2 linked regions of the Drosophila melanogaster genome follow. The protein of the gene in region 2 purifies or fractionates together with the protein of the main gene of each other region. This does not show direct contact. Each region holds a gene or a part of one and is shown on either strand. Other genes may lie near its edges. The genes, in order: Cnx99A and EMC1.

Evidence for each region.
Region 1: the proteins of EMC1 (region 2) and Cnx99A purify together in Drosophila melanogaster (affinity purification with western blotting, with the first as the bait; one study listed by BioGRID). This does not show direct contact.

What each region holds. Positions count from the first base shown.
Region 1 is NT_033777.3:29,314,474-29,321,837, forward strand, and holds Cnx99A (calnexin 99A), read right to left. Parts: upstream 5,172-7,364; 5' UTR 5,115-5,171; exon of another isoform or gene 5,061-5,114; 5' UTR 4,902-5,060; coding exon 4,758-4,901; intron 4,140-4,757; coding exon 3,801-4,139; intron 3,668-3,800; coding exon 3,596-3,667; intron 3,497-3,595; coding exon 3,363-3,496; intron 3,039-3,362; coding exon 2,450-3,038; intron 2,388-2,449; coding exon 2,247-2,387; intron 2,157-2,246; coding exon of another isoform or gene 2,031-2,156; intron 1,893-2,030; coding exon 1,764-1,892; intron 1,697-1,763; coding exon 1,472-1,696; intron 1,407-1,471; coding exon 1,362-1,406; 3' UTR 781-1,361; downstream 1-780.
Region 2 is NT_033777.3:7,901,887-7,908,950, forward strand, and holds EMC1 (ER membrane protein complex subunit 1), read right to left. Parts: upstream 5,478-7,064; 5' UTR 5,337-5,477; coding exon 5,242-5,336; intron 5,175-5,241; coding exon 4,532-5,174; intron 4,442-4,531; coding exon 4,295-4,441; intron 4,212-4,294; coding exon 3,899-4,211; intron 3,826-3,898; coding exon 3,805-3,825; intron 3,500-3,804; coding exon 3,165-3,499; intron 3,111-3,164; coding exon 2,916-3,110; intron 2,856-2,915; coding exon 2,778-2,855; intron 2,720-2,777; coding exon 2,518-2,719; intron 2,459-2,517; coding exon 2,306-2,458; intron 2,239-2,305; coding exon 2,068-2,238; intron 2,004-2,067; coding exon 1,770-2,003; intron 1,708-1,769; coding exon 1,547-1,707; 3' UTR 1,144-1,546; downstream 1-1,143. Other genes in the region: mRpS9 (mitochondrial ribosomal protein S9), read right to left, coding at 1-9, 121-294, 353-568, 651-746; Taf7 (TBP-associated factor 7), read left to right, coding at 5,739-5,933, 5,998-7,064.

The sequences.
Region 1 (7,364 bases), about 21 Mb from region 2:
CATACCCCGGCTGACGCATCCCATACATACGACGTATATTATTAATATGCAACGCAGTCTAGCCGCAAAATTTTAATCCTTTTAAGTGAGGCCGCCAGACATCGGGCAAATCGTTTAATCTTTTTATTGAATAGCCCTTGGAGTTTTGGGCAATCGAAGGAAAGAGTTTCACATCTGTTTGGCGGACATAAATCTAATTTCGAATGTCCCGCCTGTGTGTGACTGACTGAGACATCCCAACTCCTCCTTTTGGCGAATGCAAATCGTCGTCGGCTTACTGTTGTCATAACAATTCCATTAACGAGGACTGTCTGTCTGATTTGGCATATTTATGAGCTTAGGAAATTGAATTGAATTATTCAGAGCGACAAAAAGGAGGCCTCTAATACATGATGGTATCATTTGCTGAAAATGAATTCTATTGGCGGGGATTTCCTTCTTTCTTGACTCGCAAAATGATTGTTAAATGTATTCTATACCAGATCGATCCAATCGGCCAAATAATGAAAACATTTTGGCATTTGGCATTTGGCAAATGCCCCAAAACCGCACGAATGCAATGTGTCTGGTCTGGTCTGGTCTGGTCGGCGCCCCACGCACCATCGAGCATAATAAATCCGATTCGAATCTGATCTATCCCAACATCAGGGGTTGACATTTAAATTAACACCCATGTGGTATGGCTGCATGGGGGTTGGAATCAGGACCTGTGCGACAGGACTTGGCTCAGTCCTTTCGCTTAGCTGCTGGCAGTTGGTTGGATTCAAAGGCTCTTGCTTTGGTTTTGACATTTAGTTTTATTTTTCGCTGTAAATTTTCATCGGTACAAATGAAAATGGAAACTTGAGTATAACTAACATACTATTCAATTTCGTTTAAATTACATAATATTAAACTAGATGCTTGCCATTAGATTTATCTGCTTTAGTTCCCTCTTTGTTTGCTGCTTTAGTTTCAGTTGTAGTTGATTTGTTTCCCTCAATTGTCTAGTTGGTGTTTTCCATTTTTACACAAATCAAAAGGAGGATCATCACTCCAACTAAACACTATAAAGCGGTGCCATCGCGGCTGGCTCTGTGTAAGGGTGCTATATATGTATAGGAGATATGGGGACGACAGAGGGTCGAACACGACAGAAATGCAACGATAATACGGCAAAAGTACGTACAGAGTTGACTAAACCGAAACGAGTGTGTGTGTGGTGTGTGTGTGTAGTTTGTGGGAGATGTCGGCTGCCTTGGCGAACAAACATTTTGGTTGTTGCTGCTTCGCAACCGCTGGCTTTTGGAATTGGATTAAGTTTTTTTTTTTCTTTAGAGTTGCAGTGTTTGTTTTCGGATTCGGCATGTGGGGATGCCCGCTTACTCCTTGCGCGCTTGACGCTTGCGTGTTTTTGTGTTAGATTCCTAAAGAGAATAACGTTGAGATTAGTTCTGGTGGTGGACACAAGCAAGCTTATTTTTGAACGCACCTCAGTCTGTGCGGGCTCTCGGCTCTCCGCCGCCTTGGACTCCTCTTCGTTATCATCTAAATCAGACTTTTGGTTCTTCTTGGGACTAGCGGACAGCGGTGTGCTCTCCTTGCTGGTATCGCCAGCGGCCCTTTCGTCGCTCTCCTCCTCGGCCTCGGGCTCATCGTCGGGCTGAGGATCGTCGGACTTCTTGGCCTCGGCAGCAGCCTTTTTGGCAGCCGAGTCCTAATAGCAAAAGTGGGATTAGTAAATTCCTTATGAAGATCTCAAGTGAAAGCTCGAGCATCATTACCTGACTCTTAGCGGTACCAAATCTACAGTAGATGGTGAGGGCAACCAGCGCCACAATGGCCACCAAGCCAATGCCCCAGATCGAGGGATTGGCCTTGGCTAGCTCGACTACCTTATTCACGAATGAGTCCTATTAATGAGAAAGCCAAAGAATAGCAGTAGCAATTACAGGTGCACGGTGCAGGGCAAATATGAGAGGTGTTCATGTGGTTGTACTGTAGGCACTTCTAATTAAAATTTGAAAGCGTAAGACAAGACCGGAGCCAACCTCTTTGGCGCGTCGGTAGAGATAGAAGACATAACAACTGGCCGGAATGAGCAGGTACACGAAGTACAGGGCCCACCAGCCGGGCTTGTAGTTCATGCGGCGCATTAGGCGGTGCCAGAAGGTTTTCTTCGAATTGGATAGAGAAGTCTCTCGATTACGAATCCCTGTGTTTATTTGTGAAGGGAAAACGGAAGAGGTTAGGGGTTTTAAACTTACCGATTCACGATCGATGTAGCGACGCTTGATGTCGAAGCTGTTGGCGGCAAAGTCACGGGCCACCTCCACGTCGTCCGTGATGATTAGGTTGTCGAAGAGAATATCGCTGGACATGGACCACAGTTCCAGACCCACAGCGCTCTAAATAGAGTTAGTTTGGCTATAGCAAAGTGGACAACGAAAGCCATGCAAATTGCACTTACGATGGGCGTCATTTGGAAGGGCTTCAGATCCTCAAAGAAGTCTGGATTGGGAATCTTCCTGGGTGCCCACTTGCCCTGGTAGTTGGGGTTCTCGATCATTGGTGCACGCCACTTGCCCTTGTAGTTGGGATTGGGGATGAGCGGAGCCTTCCACTTGCCACAGCCGGGAGCCTTCTCGCACACTGGATTGTCCACCAATGGAGCCTCCCACTCGCCATCGATTTCGGCATCCCAATCCTCGGGTTTGGTGGCAGTTGGATCGAAAATCATGTCGGGCTCATCTTCGAGCCAGCCATTGGGCATGACGGCATCGGTATCGGGCAACTGGGGTGGAGCATCCTCATCCCAATCCTCGGGCTTGTGGGCAGTGGGATCTGGGATCTTCTCTCGCTCATCCCACGATTCGGGCTTGTGGTCATTGGGGTCGTCGATCTCTGCCGGCGGGTTGACTGGTGGCTTGAAATCGGTTAGCAGGGAACCCTCATTGATGATCTTGTGGTCAACGCGAATCTCAAAGCTGTTATCGGGACGGACCACCAGCTGGTAGAGATGGGGTAGCTTGTCCTTGAATGGCTCTTCCAAACGGTTCCTGAAAGCAAAGAACAAAAGAATATTATTCATCGATGGGATTATAAATATACGGTTTATCTGCCTCTTCAGAAATTCAGCTCATCAATGGGGGCAATAGTCCACCATCGGTGACGAAGAGCCAAACGGGTGATAAAGGTGAGCAAAGGTGATTTCGGAGATATTACACGTATGCGCAATGTCGAACACCAATTTTGTTTCTATACAACGCTCGGAAACTTTCAAGCAAGATGGTTAGAGTGGTGATTCTATTGATAGCGATAACGCTTGAACGAGCTGCTCATTTCCAATCTGCCAAAGAGTTGCGTTCATTTAATGGACTCACTTTGGCTTGTTGCAGTGCTTCTCGGTGATGGTGCCATTAATTGGATTGACGTGCCGGAATATGAAGTGCATTTTCACATCGTTGCCGCACTTGTCCGGTCCAAACATGATGGTATAGGGTGTCTTGTCATTGAACTACGAGTAAACAGATTCGGTTTCGGGGGTTGTTTACGATGTATGTTCTTTGGGGTTCAGGCGAGTGTGATCTATGAGGGCATTGGCCCCCGCACTTACCGCTTTTAGTTGCTCCGTGTCTTTTCCGGCGGACAAAAGCTTCAGATACGAGCCACCGCACTCCTGACCCTCCTAAAAACAAAAAAACAAAAACAAAAAAACGAGAATAAGCCGGGGGAGAACGAGAATTGGGTCAGTAAGCGGGTATTAATTGGATTTGCCCGGCGGCTGATGCAATCCCAGAGCGTTTCGCTAGGTGACGAACCTGCAACGTGACCTCGTACTGCACCACCAGCGGCTTGTCCGACTTGAACTCGAACGGTTTGCGGAGGGGGGCGGCTATGGCCGCGTGTTTGGCCTTCGACTTGAGCACCAGACCCAAGTCGTTAGCCCAAACGATGCGCTGCGGCGACTCCCAGTTCCAGATGCCGTCGTACTTGGAGATCTCCTCGGCGATGTCGTCCTTCTTGGCCTGCGACAGCACCCACCTCTTCCTGGACTCCTCCACGTCGTCGAAGTGATCCGCGAAGTGGAACTTCTTGGCATCGATAACCGGGCTCTCGTAGGCCAGCTTCTCATCGCCACCGATGACGGCGGGCTCCTCCTGCAAAGCATATGTGGAAACATTAGATAAGGTGCCATAAAATCCGAAGCACGCGGTTGTCAGTGGGGAAAGTGATAAAGAGAGGGAGAGAAAGATGGGTGGCCAGCATGGGTTTGAATTGGAGAGCGCTACACCTGGGCCCGCCAGACTAGTTATAGCTATATAATAACATGTTTTATGTTGCTCTTAGCTTGACCTCATCTGTAGCAGTAACTCCCCTAGAAACATAAATGACTGGCATAATTTCTAGAGAAACAAGCACGTTAAATAGAAGCTCTGCTCAATAAACCTCTGATGTAACCTGTGGAGCAACAGATTAGCGCATTCTTGGTGCTGCCATGGGGAGTTGCTATCTGCTTGACCTCGTCTGTTGGTAAACAGTTTTATTTTCCCTCGCATTCGGATTTGTTGCTGGAAAAGTGAGACACACTCGCATGCTAATTGTGGGTCATAAAGCGAAGAAGCCGGCCGCACCAACACCCCCCTCCCCCACAACCACCTTCCCCTACCCTCACAGCAATAGCGTTTCGCCTTTTCTTCTAGTAGCTTCCACTGACGTGTACTTTTTTCTCTCGTTTTTTTTATCTTACGAACCGCATCGTCGGACCAACTACTCACCTGCACATCCTCCACATAACCATCCTCGAAGTCGTCCGACTCCGTGTCCAAATCGGCGGCATTGGCCGCACTCAGCAGCAGCAAACTGCTGGCGAAGAGCAACGCCAGCGTTGCGGCCCGGTTTCCTCCCATTTTCCACGCCATTTTCACCCACTTTTCGCTCGCTCGCTGGCTGCCTGGCTGGGATTTAGTATCCGCGGAAAACCAGGTGGTGGACTCACTTGTGCGCGCTGTGCTTTTCAACAGTTTTCCCCCACTGCGGTCTGTTGCGGAATAACAAGAATCGAGATCTGGCACGACGAACTATTTGTAATTAAATTAATGTAAATTATACATTTTCTCTGCTGCGCTGCCTACTGTGTTCTGTGCTTCCTCTTCGCCTGCTTTGGTATGCCGCCGCAAAGGACAACTGGTCACACTGTCGCGTTGCGTTGTACCCTACCGTAGGGTATATATAGTTTTTAAGATACTTACTCAAGCTAGAATCTTTAATAATTGCACGTTCTTAGGAAGAGCACACTTTCAGCGGGACCAGAATATAATTGATTTGATGATTATGTTTGTGCTAAATAAAAGTAAGGAATATGTCAGATTTATTAATTTTATATACTTATTTGCTATTTAATAAATTAAGAATACTTTTGTTACCTTAAAACCACCCTCATGACCTCCCTAACCTGGTTTTGACCTAGAAAGTCTTAGTTTTAAAATTCATTAGAATAATCAAATAAATAATAATTACTATGTTATATCAACTATTATAATTCTCCCTATCATTTTTAGGATTAAAAATCTGTTAGTCTTAAGTAACCAAGACACATTGTAAAATAAAATAATTTAAGCAGATCAAATTAAGTTGCCGCATGGGTAACAGTGCGTTGATCAAATAATAAAAACATCATCGTAATCGTTACCTTAAGCATATCGATATGCCTCACTCCAATCGTCGTTACAGGGTTTGGAACTCCGATAAGTTTGTAGTACAGACTTACCCCCAGACGCTAATTGAATGTTGCATACTTTTCACTGCTAATCATAATTAATACATGATCATAATACAGAATGAAATATATAAACAAATACAATGTTATAAATAAAGAATAAATGGTTACAAGGGGAAAGAAAGCTGCATGTTTTCATTTGAGACATATAAATTCGCATAAACCACCATAAAATAATCGTTTTTCAGCCATAACTTGAGAAATATTGTCCGAAATATGGATTGTCATACCTTGTTGGACTCGTAATCGAACTCCCCTTCCAACCAAAATCAAATTTTGGAAAAAAAATTTTGAGCCAAATTTTGCAAAAAATGATGATGGTACCCCTTACAAAAAATTCAAAAATGGCCAAAATATGGATTTTGGAAAAACGGTCAAAAAGTTATATGCCCTGTTAGTTTAGGTCAAAAGATGTACAAAAAAGTTAGTTTCGTAGATTTCTGACTATTTTGAGCCAAGTAGTGACGAAAAACGTCTAAGAAAATACGTAATTTCCATATTGACAGTTTTGCCTTAATAAATTTGCACGGAAATTCGCAAACCAGTTAAAGCCTATTTTTGTTAATTATGTATGCTAATTTTTAAATTAATTTCAATCGGAATTAGGATTATCTAGGACTCGTAGCAGGCACCACTCTAGTATTTTGTTATTTTCCCTCGCCGACCATATTGAAATTAATATTTGTGCGATGTGCGATTTCCACTGAAATATTGGCATACATTTATTTTCCACTGGACATATCTGAATCAAACACTCCGTGGCATGAAAGTAGTCTTGCATGTTGCAATTATTTTAAAAGCCCGGCGGCTCAATTAATGCCCCACAACGGGAATGGCTAAGCCCCCCAATAAACTTGATGGCTGGCGGCAAAAGTTTCCCTTTGCCACGCGTGGCTCTAAAAAATAAAGTGGCATGCATTTGAGCATAAAATTATAATAAAAATTCCTAACTTATTGGCAGGATTTGTGTGGGTGGGGTCCATTCGTTGCCACGCCTTCTTTGTGCTGAGAAAATAGGTGTATAAATTTAAGAAAATAACAATAAAATTATTACAAATTAGAAGCATTGAAGGAAACGCACATTTTCCACACAAATGAACAGGTACATATATAATATTCAAGATTAACAGATTTTTCCCAGTGCACATCCTTTAACTGTGGCAACTTATCTGCGGCACGCGCAATTCTGCTGCTGCTTCTATTGCTGCCACTGACAGTTTTTCTTTCTTTTTTTTTGTTTGCAACTGCATACAAAAAGCTTTCTGTTTAATGGAATATTTAACACAATTTAAAAAGTTTTTTTCTAAAGACAAACAAAGACTCGGAAGCACACATGTGGGTGGGTGGTGCATATACATAATAGTGGGGGGCGGGGGGTAGGTGTGTTCGGAAGAAGAGGCAACTTTTGTTGGAGCCTCCGGACTGCAGAAAACTAAACACGTGCGCACAGACGTTTCTTTTTTTTTTATGGAAATTGTGTAATGACAGTTAATGAGGGTACTACATAAACAGACACAAGCACACCTCCAACACTCACACATGCAGCTTTTTAAAACGCCCCACCTGAGCATAAACAGCCAGTGTTGTCAAGTGTTCTATTAACAAC
Region 2 (7,064 bases):
TACAATGTCCTGGTAATTAAAAAGGAAAAGTAGTTAATACCTTTCTACCAAACCACTTAAAATTAATTCATCATTCTTCTTTCTTAAGTAATGAAGTTCCCAAGTTGCGCAATTACTCACATGAAGCAGTTGGAAGAAGTTGGGTTTGCCGGTGTAGAACATGCTGTGGAATGGTCTGCCCGTCTCATCGAATTCCGCAGCCTTGCGGGCGGGGAAGACAACCTCGGGTGACTTCATAGCCGGCCGGGCCTTTTGGTCGTACAATCCGGAAGGGAACAGATAGGATATCGCCTCCTGTAATTGATAATGAGGTAAAATAGCCCCTTAAAATTTTCATAGCCAAATATCTCACGTCTATGTCCTCCTGGGTAAACGTCTCCGCATCGGCGCCCATCATGTTGGCCAGGTGCCGCTTTCCGATCTGGAACTCCAGGTGCTGGGTCTTCATGAACTCGTCGTGTTCGGTGGCTCTTTTCAGGTACGCCCGCATGGCCTTGCTCACCCTTTGCTTCTGGACAGCCGCCGGAGCAGCCTGGACGGTCACATCGGTGGCAAATGGAGCCGCTGCCTGAAAGGTTATGCAAACGTTTGGTCTCACAATTGGGAACAGTGAAAAGTGTCAAGTCTATTGACTTGACTATTGTACCAACCATGTAGCATGGCATCGGTGCCCTGGATTTGCATGCATTTTGCAGCAGATTCCTGTTATTTTTTACTATATTTAAGCCAAAAACACGCAGTGCCATCCTTTCAATTTTGCGGAAGAAGAAGAGAATAAACATATGTTTCAGTCGGTTAAAGTTGGATGGTCGGTGTTGGAAAACACACAAGCTTTCAGCTGATTTTTGGCGCCCATTTAAAAATTTTTTTATTTGTATTTTTAATTTATTAAGCTATAAAACCACAACTTTCTTACAATGTTATAAGACGGTGAAAATTACTTCATTTTTGAGATAAGTATTATAATAATAATTCCTTTTATACTTTACAGGAAATTCTAAAAAAAATTGTCCTAAATAAATCAGGTAATAGACGCTATGAATTTTTGATTTAATTGTATTTTTATTATTTATATTTTTTGTTTTAATTATCAAAAATTTTTTGAATCCACCTCCTAATTAATCCCAACAATCAGTTAATTCTGATGAAAAAATTGTTTATTTACTTTACCGTTGTCCACCTTTACAAATGCTTTTATTGACTATACTTTTTAAACACTCTTTCAATGCTGATATTTTCAAATGGAAATTTAAACGAACACAAATCAAAGGAACAGAACATGCAATGAAAACCTTTCAACAGCTAATTATAGTTATTTGATGTTTAACGCTATATAATTAGTTATAAATAATTGCCTAGGCTTAGCGTTGATAAAAGGTTTTATTCGCATTGTGGGATGTAATGCAGCTATCAGAATTCTGTTATATATATCAATAGTATCTCGCCGATTTACATTCTCTCATCATCATTCCATCCTCCCTTGTGGTATTTGGTCGCAGTACAATTTATATATATTTAAAGCAATTATTTAATAATAATGCCAAGCCTATTTCCACGCCTGCTTGAGCAATTTACGCGACGCTAAATGCTTAACAATCAACGAGCCTGATGTGAGCGCGACTAGCACTATGGAAATGAGAATATAATCAAAGTCCTCCTTCAGCAAGTCGAACGTCTTTGATGGCGCCACGCGCGTAACGAACAAATCTGTCAAATAAAAATGGTTTACAGTGCTTTAACCAAAATCGCGTTTGATAAATCTCCCTTACCTAAGCCCGTAGCAACGACTAGACAGGTACTCTCCAAGCCACTGGGCGCGGTGTAAATATTACGCAGACGGGCAACCGTCTGGTTGTAATTTATGTGGCTCTCTGTTGGCAAAGGCAGCTCGGGTATGTAGGGGATGGCTCCTTCTTCACGTCCCTGAGTCGTGGATGCGATAGGACGTCGGGGATCCAGCAAATGCCACGGCATTTCCACAATGGAACCACTGGCAGTGCCGACTAGAATTAATGACAAATGGTTAGCATCCTATTTGGCGTTCAAATTACTTTCGTTAATGCTCACTAAGCACATGCTTGTTGGTGATTCCGCGCTCCGTGATAGTTTCCCGCAGAGCCTCAACTATTGTGGGCAGTATATAAGACTGGCGCTCCACGAGGGGCATTGGCGGAGCTTGCAAGGAACTCCAAACACTGCTGTTTGCCTGACTCTTGCCCTCGTACAGTTCGATTGTGGCTGTAGCAAGTAAATAAAGTTTAGTAAATATAGGTACTTGTCAATGGCTATCGCTGTTGTAACTTACTAATCTCTGTGCGACGCAATTTCTCGTTGAAGTAGGAGTAGGCAAGCCAGTTTTCGGAGTGGACAATGCTCAGTGGTGCACGGACCTTACGATGCGTCATGGTGAAAACCACAGAGCCGGAGACCACATCAACCAGATACAAATTTAGCACGGCTATGGAGTAAGTGCCATTTAAATGAATGCTTAATTACACGAAGCGCATGCAGACTCACATTTGTGTGTGGAATCCGGTGCCTGTGTGACGAAAGCCACTAGATTAGGGTTGATGTACTTGTACAGCACCGATCGATCGCCCAGCACACGTCCCTGGGAGTGGACATGCTCGATGGGATTCTTGCCGGCAACGCCGATAATCTGCTGCTCGGAATTGTGGCCGCCCAGGCGAGCATTCCAGATGTGCGTGCTGGACAGTTGCTAACGGAAATGGTTTAATAAGTTAAGTGCTTTCATATTAAAAGGCTGCATTACTTACCCCGCCCGCATATTTAACAAAGTAGCCGGCCAGCTCTGCAGTTTTCAAATCGGCGGTGTACAGATACATGCCATCAGCCTGTACGTGCATGTAAAGATTTTCAACTCTATTGATATATCATAGAATTTTATATCTTACCAGTGGGGCCGCATGTTCGGGATAAACATGTACCTTATTCGAAGCATCCAGTAACAGAATGCCCTTCAGAAAGTCCTTTTCCGTTTCTCCCAGCAACGAAAGCTGCTTAATTCTGTAGTCCAGCTGAACAAGGCCACCTTCGGCTACTTTGCCGGTAATAGGATTAAAACGATAGAGCACACCATTGCCGCTGACCTATAAACGATTAGAATTAGCGTGGGAACTATGCGATTTGTCAGTCAGACCTACAGCATTCTTGCCCAAAATAGTGCACAACGGCTGAAGTGGAAAGTGTTTGGCCGAGCGCTGGACAATCAGACGCATCTGTTCGTCGTTAGCGAATCCAATAACATTGGGAAGATGCAGCTGCCAGTGATGTTTCCCAGAGACATTGTCAATGCCAAAAATCTTTCCAGCACGCGTCAGTAAAACCAGCATCTTGTGGAGGCCAAAGGAGTCTCTGACCAAGCCGGCTCGCTGGGTGTCTGTAGGTGGAGGACCCAGTCCGATAACATGAAGGAACAAGCTCCGAATCTGAACAGCTTGAGTGGTGATGCGACGCAAAAAGGCACTGGCAATGTCTCCTGTTTACGTGGTGAAAACATAAATATTAGTAAAGAACAATTTAATATGATCTTTAAACATTAACGATATACCAAAGATATTTCATATTTTAGTTTACATTGGAAATTAATTATTGGACAGTAAAAAAGTAAAAGTAATACACTTAGCTTTAAACTAGCGAAGCATGCTTGAATTTGTTAGTAAACATTCGTTTTTAGATTAGTGGTACGTTCAATAAACATTAAAAAAAAAAACACAAAATTAAAAGTGATAAACATGTAACAAACAATATTGCATGATTAGTTTGCTGTGAACGTTCACTTACTCTCAAAACTTGTGAAATCCCCTTTTGGTATGAATTTTCAATAATAAATTTTATGAGTTCACCTTAAAGTAGTGCATAAGTCAAGTACACTCACCGGCCTTGCCCTTCATCTCGTTCTCCAATGTGCCCTCAGTATCGGCAAGCGGTAGATCCACAAACTGCGAGTCGATCACATTTGCCAGCGACTCCTCGCGCGACCAACGAACGCGTCCATGCTGCACTGCCACGATGGACTCCGAGGTGCTGCTAAACAAAAACAGACAGTTCTTGCCCTCGCCATTGCGCTTCTGCTTACAGTCGAAGTTGCTCAGCGACGGAGTGCCAAAATGCTCGGGGAATGGCAGACTCTGCTCCAACTCCGCTGCCGGTGCACAGTTATCCAAATACAGAGCATTGATCCTGAGGATCTGTTCATACGCACAGGGAAAGAAACAATTAGTTTTCACATAGAAATAGTAGAATAGAACAGTAAATATAAGTTTAAACGTACTCCAGAGGACAGATCTGCATAGGCCAAGACTTTGCGATAGTTAAAGCTGCCCACGGCGAAGCTGGAGCTTCGCAGATCACCGCAGATCGATTGGTCCTTGTTGACACTAATTGGCTTCCCATCCACAATCACAACACCATTCAGACCCTATAGAAATGTTTGGACGAATTATAACTTCACTTACAACAATCTATTACTTCACTTTCAATAAAAGCAATAGCAAAGTTTTTTCCTCACCGTCAAGGCCTGAGTTTTTCCCTTCGGCTCCGCCTCGAGCGAAGTACGGATTACTTGACCGCTTTTGGAAACGAGATCCAAACTAATCAACTGCTTTCCGTCCGTACAAACGTAGAAGGTGCCGCTAAGGGTGCAGCTCTCTGAGGTGATCCAAGGAGCTATTACCTTGCTGGTGCTGCCAGTGCTGTGGCCCGAGCTGGCGAAATACGCCGTCACCTCGAGGTGGCTCCGCCAGGCAGGCAGCACGTGATATAGCACGGATTTGCTGTAGATCCACATGGCGTCCTGGGCCCGCTCCGTGTTCATGGGCATGATGGACCACTCCCACTCAAGGGCACCCATATTGGTGTTCCAGCCGCGCACCAAAGCAGGAGCGTGTCCCTGAACGGTGAGCATGTCGAAGCCCATGTTGCTGCCCATCGGAGCGGCGGCCGTGTCGCTGCTGTCATCGGCGAATCCGCTCACCTGGAGCAGCTTGACGTCGCCGCGCGGCTTCTGCTCGAGCACCTGCCGCCACACCAATTCGCCGGTCTTTACGCACAGACTGGCCACCACTCCCTCATAGGTGGTGACCAGAATCCGCGGCTGAAAATGGTTGAGGTCGACGCGAGACTGCTTCAGTGCTCCCACATTGACGCCTCGCCTGCAAAAGCCGCACATATCCGCCGTATTAGCGCCGGGTCAATGGTCAGATATCGTACCACACTCACCAGTCGAACTTTTTGATCTGGTCTTCGTAGAGCGCCGAGCAGGTGCCCAATAGGAGCGCCAGCGAAAGTGCGGGCAGTAACCACTTCTCCTGCATGTCGTCCGCCTTGCTTGCTGACCTTCGACTAGCTCGATCTCTGATTGTTCAACTTTTGACGTATTTTTATGTTATAAATTAGTAGAAATCCACATCAATTCGTGTTTTCCGTCATGGCAAAAGGGATGAGAAGACGAAATTGGAGCAGGGTTGGCTGACGATTGCCTTATCGATAGTTCAGCGGACTCACATCCGATATTCAAAGCAGTGCGGCTCATCCCCTTTCAACGTACGGCAAACCCATTCGGTCTTCACCTTTATGATTAAATTTGTTGGTAAAAAGATTAAAAAATAAAATGCCTTGCCATTTTGCGGTATACAGGGCTTATATTTCTGCAGATGCGGCTGCAGTGTGAACCATTTTAAATATTCGTCGTGCTCGCAGCGATAACTGTGACGTGAATGCCATCACTAGCGGTGCCCCATCTAACTCCCATCTCTAATGAGCATTTAGTGTCTTCAAAAGAAGTTGTATTTTTCTGGAAAAATCGCATTGAAATGTTTGAAAAGAAGAGCGACAAGGTTAAGCAAGCGGAGCACAAGGCCCGGGATGATGGCGTAGAGCTGGAGAGCCAGTTTATCATGCGCGTGCCGAAGGTAAGCCATACATAGCACAAACAAACATCACAACAAGCCGTGCAAATTGACGGATTCTCCGCAGGAACTGGCGGACACGGTCCATGAGGCAATAAATGCTGGCACCATTAAGGACCGGCTGACCATCCAACTGGATCCGGATCTGAGGTACGGTGAAGTGCGAATAGATGATCAGATACTGTACACGAAACTCGTGGATTTGCCCACCGTCGTCGAGAGCTACAAGACCATTGACAACAAGAGCTTCTACAAGTCGGCAGACATCTGCCAAATACTCATTTGCAAGGAGGAGCGGGAGGACGAGACGGAAAAGGAGTCGCCCAACAAGAACAAAAAGAAGGACCCCAACAAGGTGGACAAAAAATACCTCTTTCCGCACGGCATCACACCGCCGTGCAAGAATGTGAGAAAACGACGATTCCGCAAAACTCTGAAGAAAAAGAATGTCGAAGCTCCCGAGATTGAGAAGGAAGTGAAACATCTGCTGCGCATTGACAACGAGGCTGTCAGAGTTGACTATGAAATCATAAACGAAGAGGACAAGCCAATGGATGAACTGGAGCAATCGGACATCAAACCCTACAACGATGCGGATGACGATTTGCAGGACGAAAGCACCATGCATGCCAGCGAAAAGACGATCATGGAAATGAGCTCCCAGCGGCACCTCCAAGTGGAGTCCGATGATGACGAAGCCAGCAACTTTCCCTCACACCGGGCGCCGAACATGGGAGTTGCTGTCCACGACATCTTCGGCGAGGAAGTGTCCAGCACGGATGACGAGGATGAGCCCGATCGGGGCAATAACACCATGCAGCGGCGGGTGATGGAGGAATCCTCACGACTCTCGGCTGATGATTCACGAATGTCGGACTTCTTTGGCGCTAGTGGCAGTAATACTGGAGCGGGCGTAGTGAAAATGGAGCAGAACGTGTTCAGCAAGTCTATGTTTGGGCATGAAGCCAGCAGTCCTAAGCTCAGCGCCGCCGGATCAAGCTCCAACCTTGCTGCTCCCAGTGGCTTCTACGATAGCCAAATGCTAGCCAAGCGCGAGGAGTTCGAGAACATGGAATTCATAGACGAACCGCAGCCGCAGTACACGCAGCAACAGGTCCAGCAGAAGATCAATCA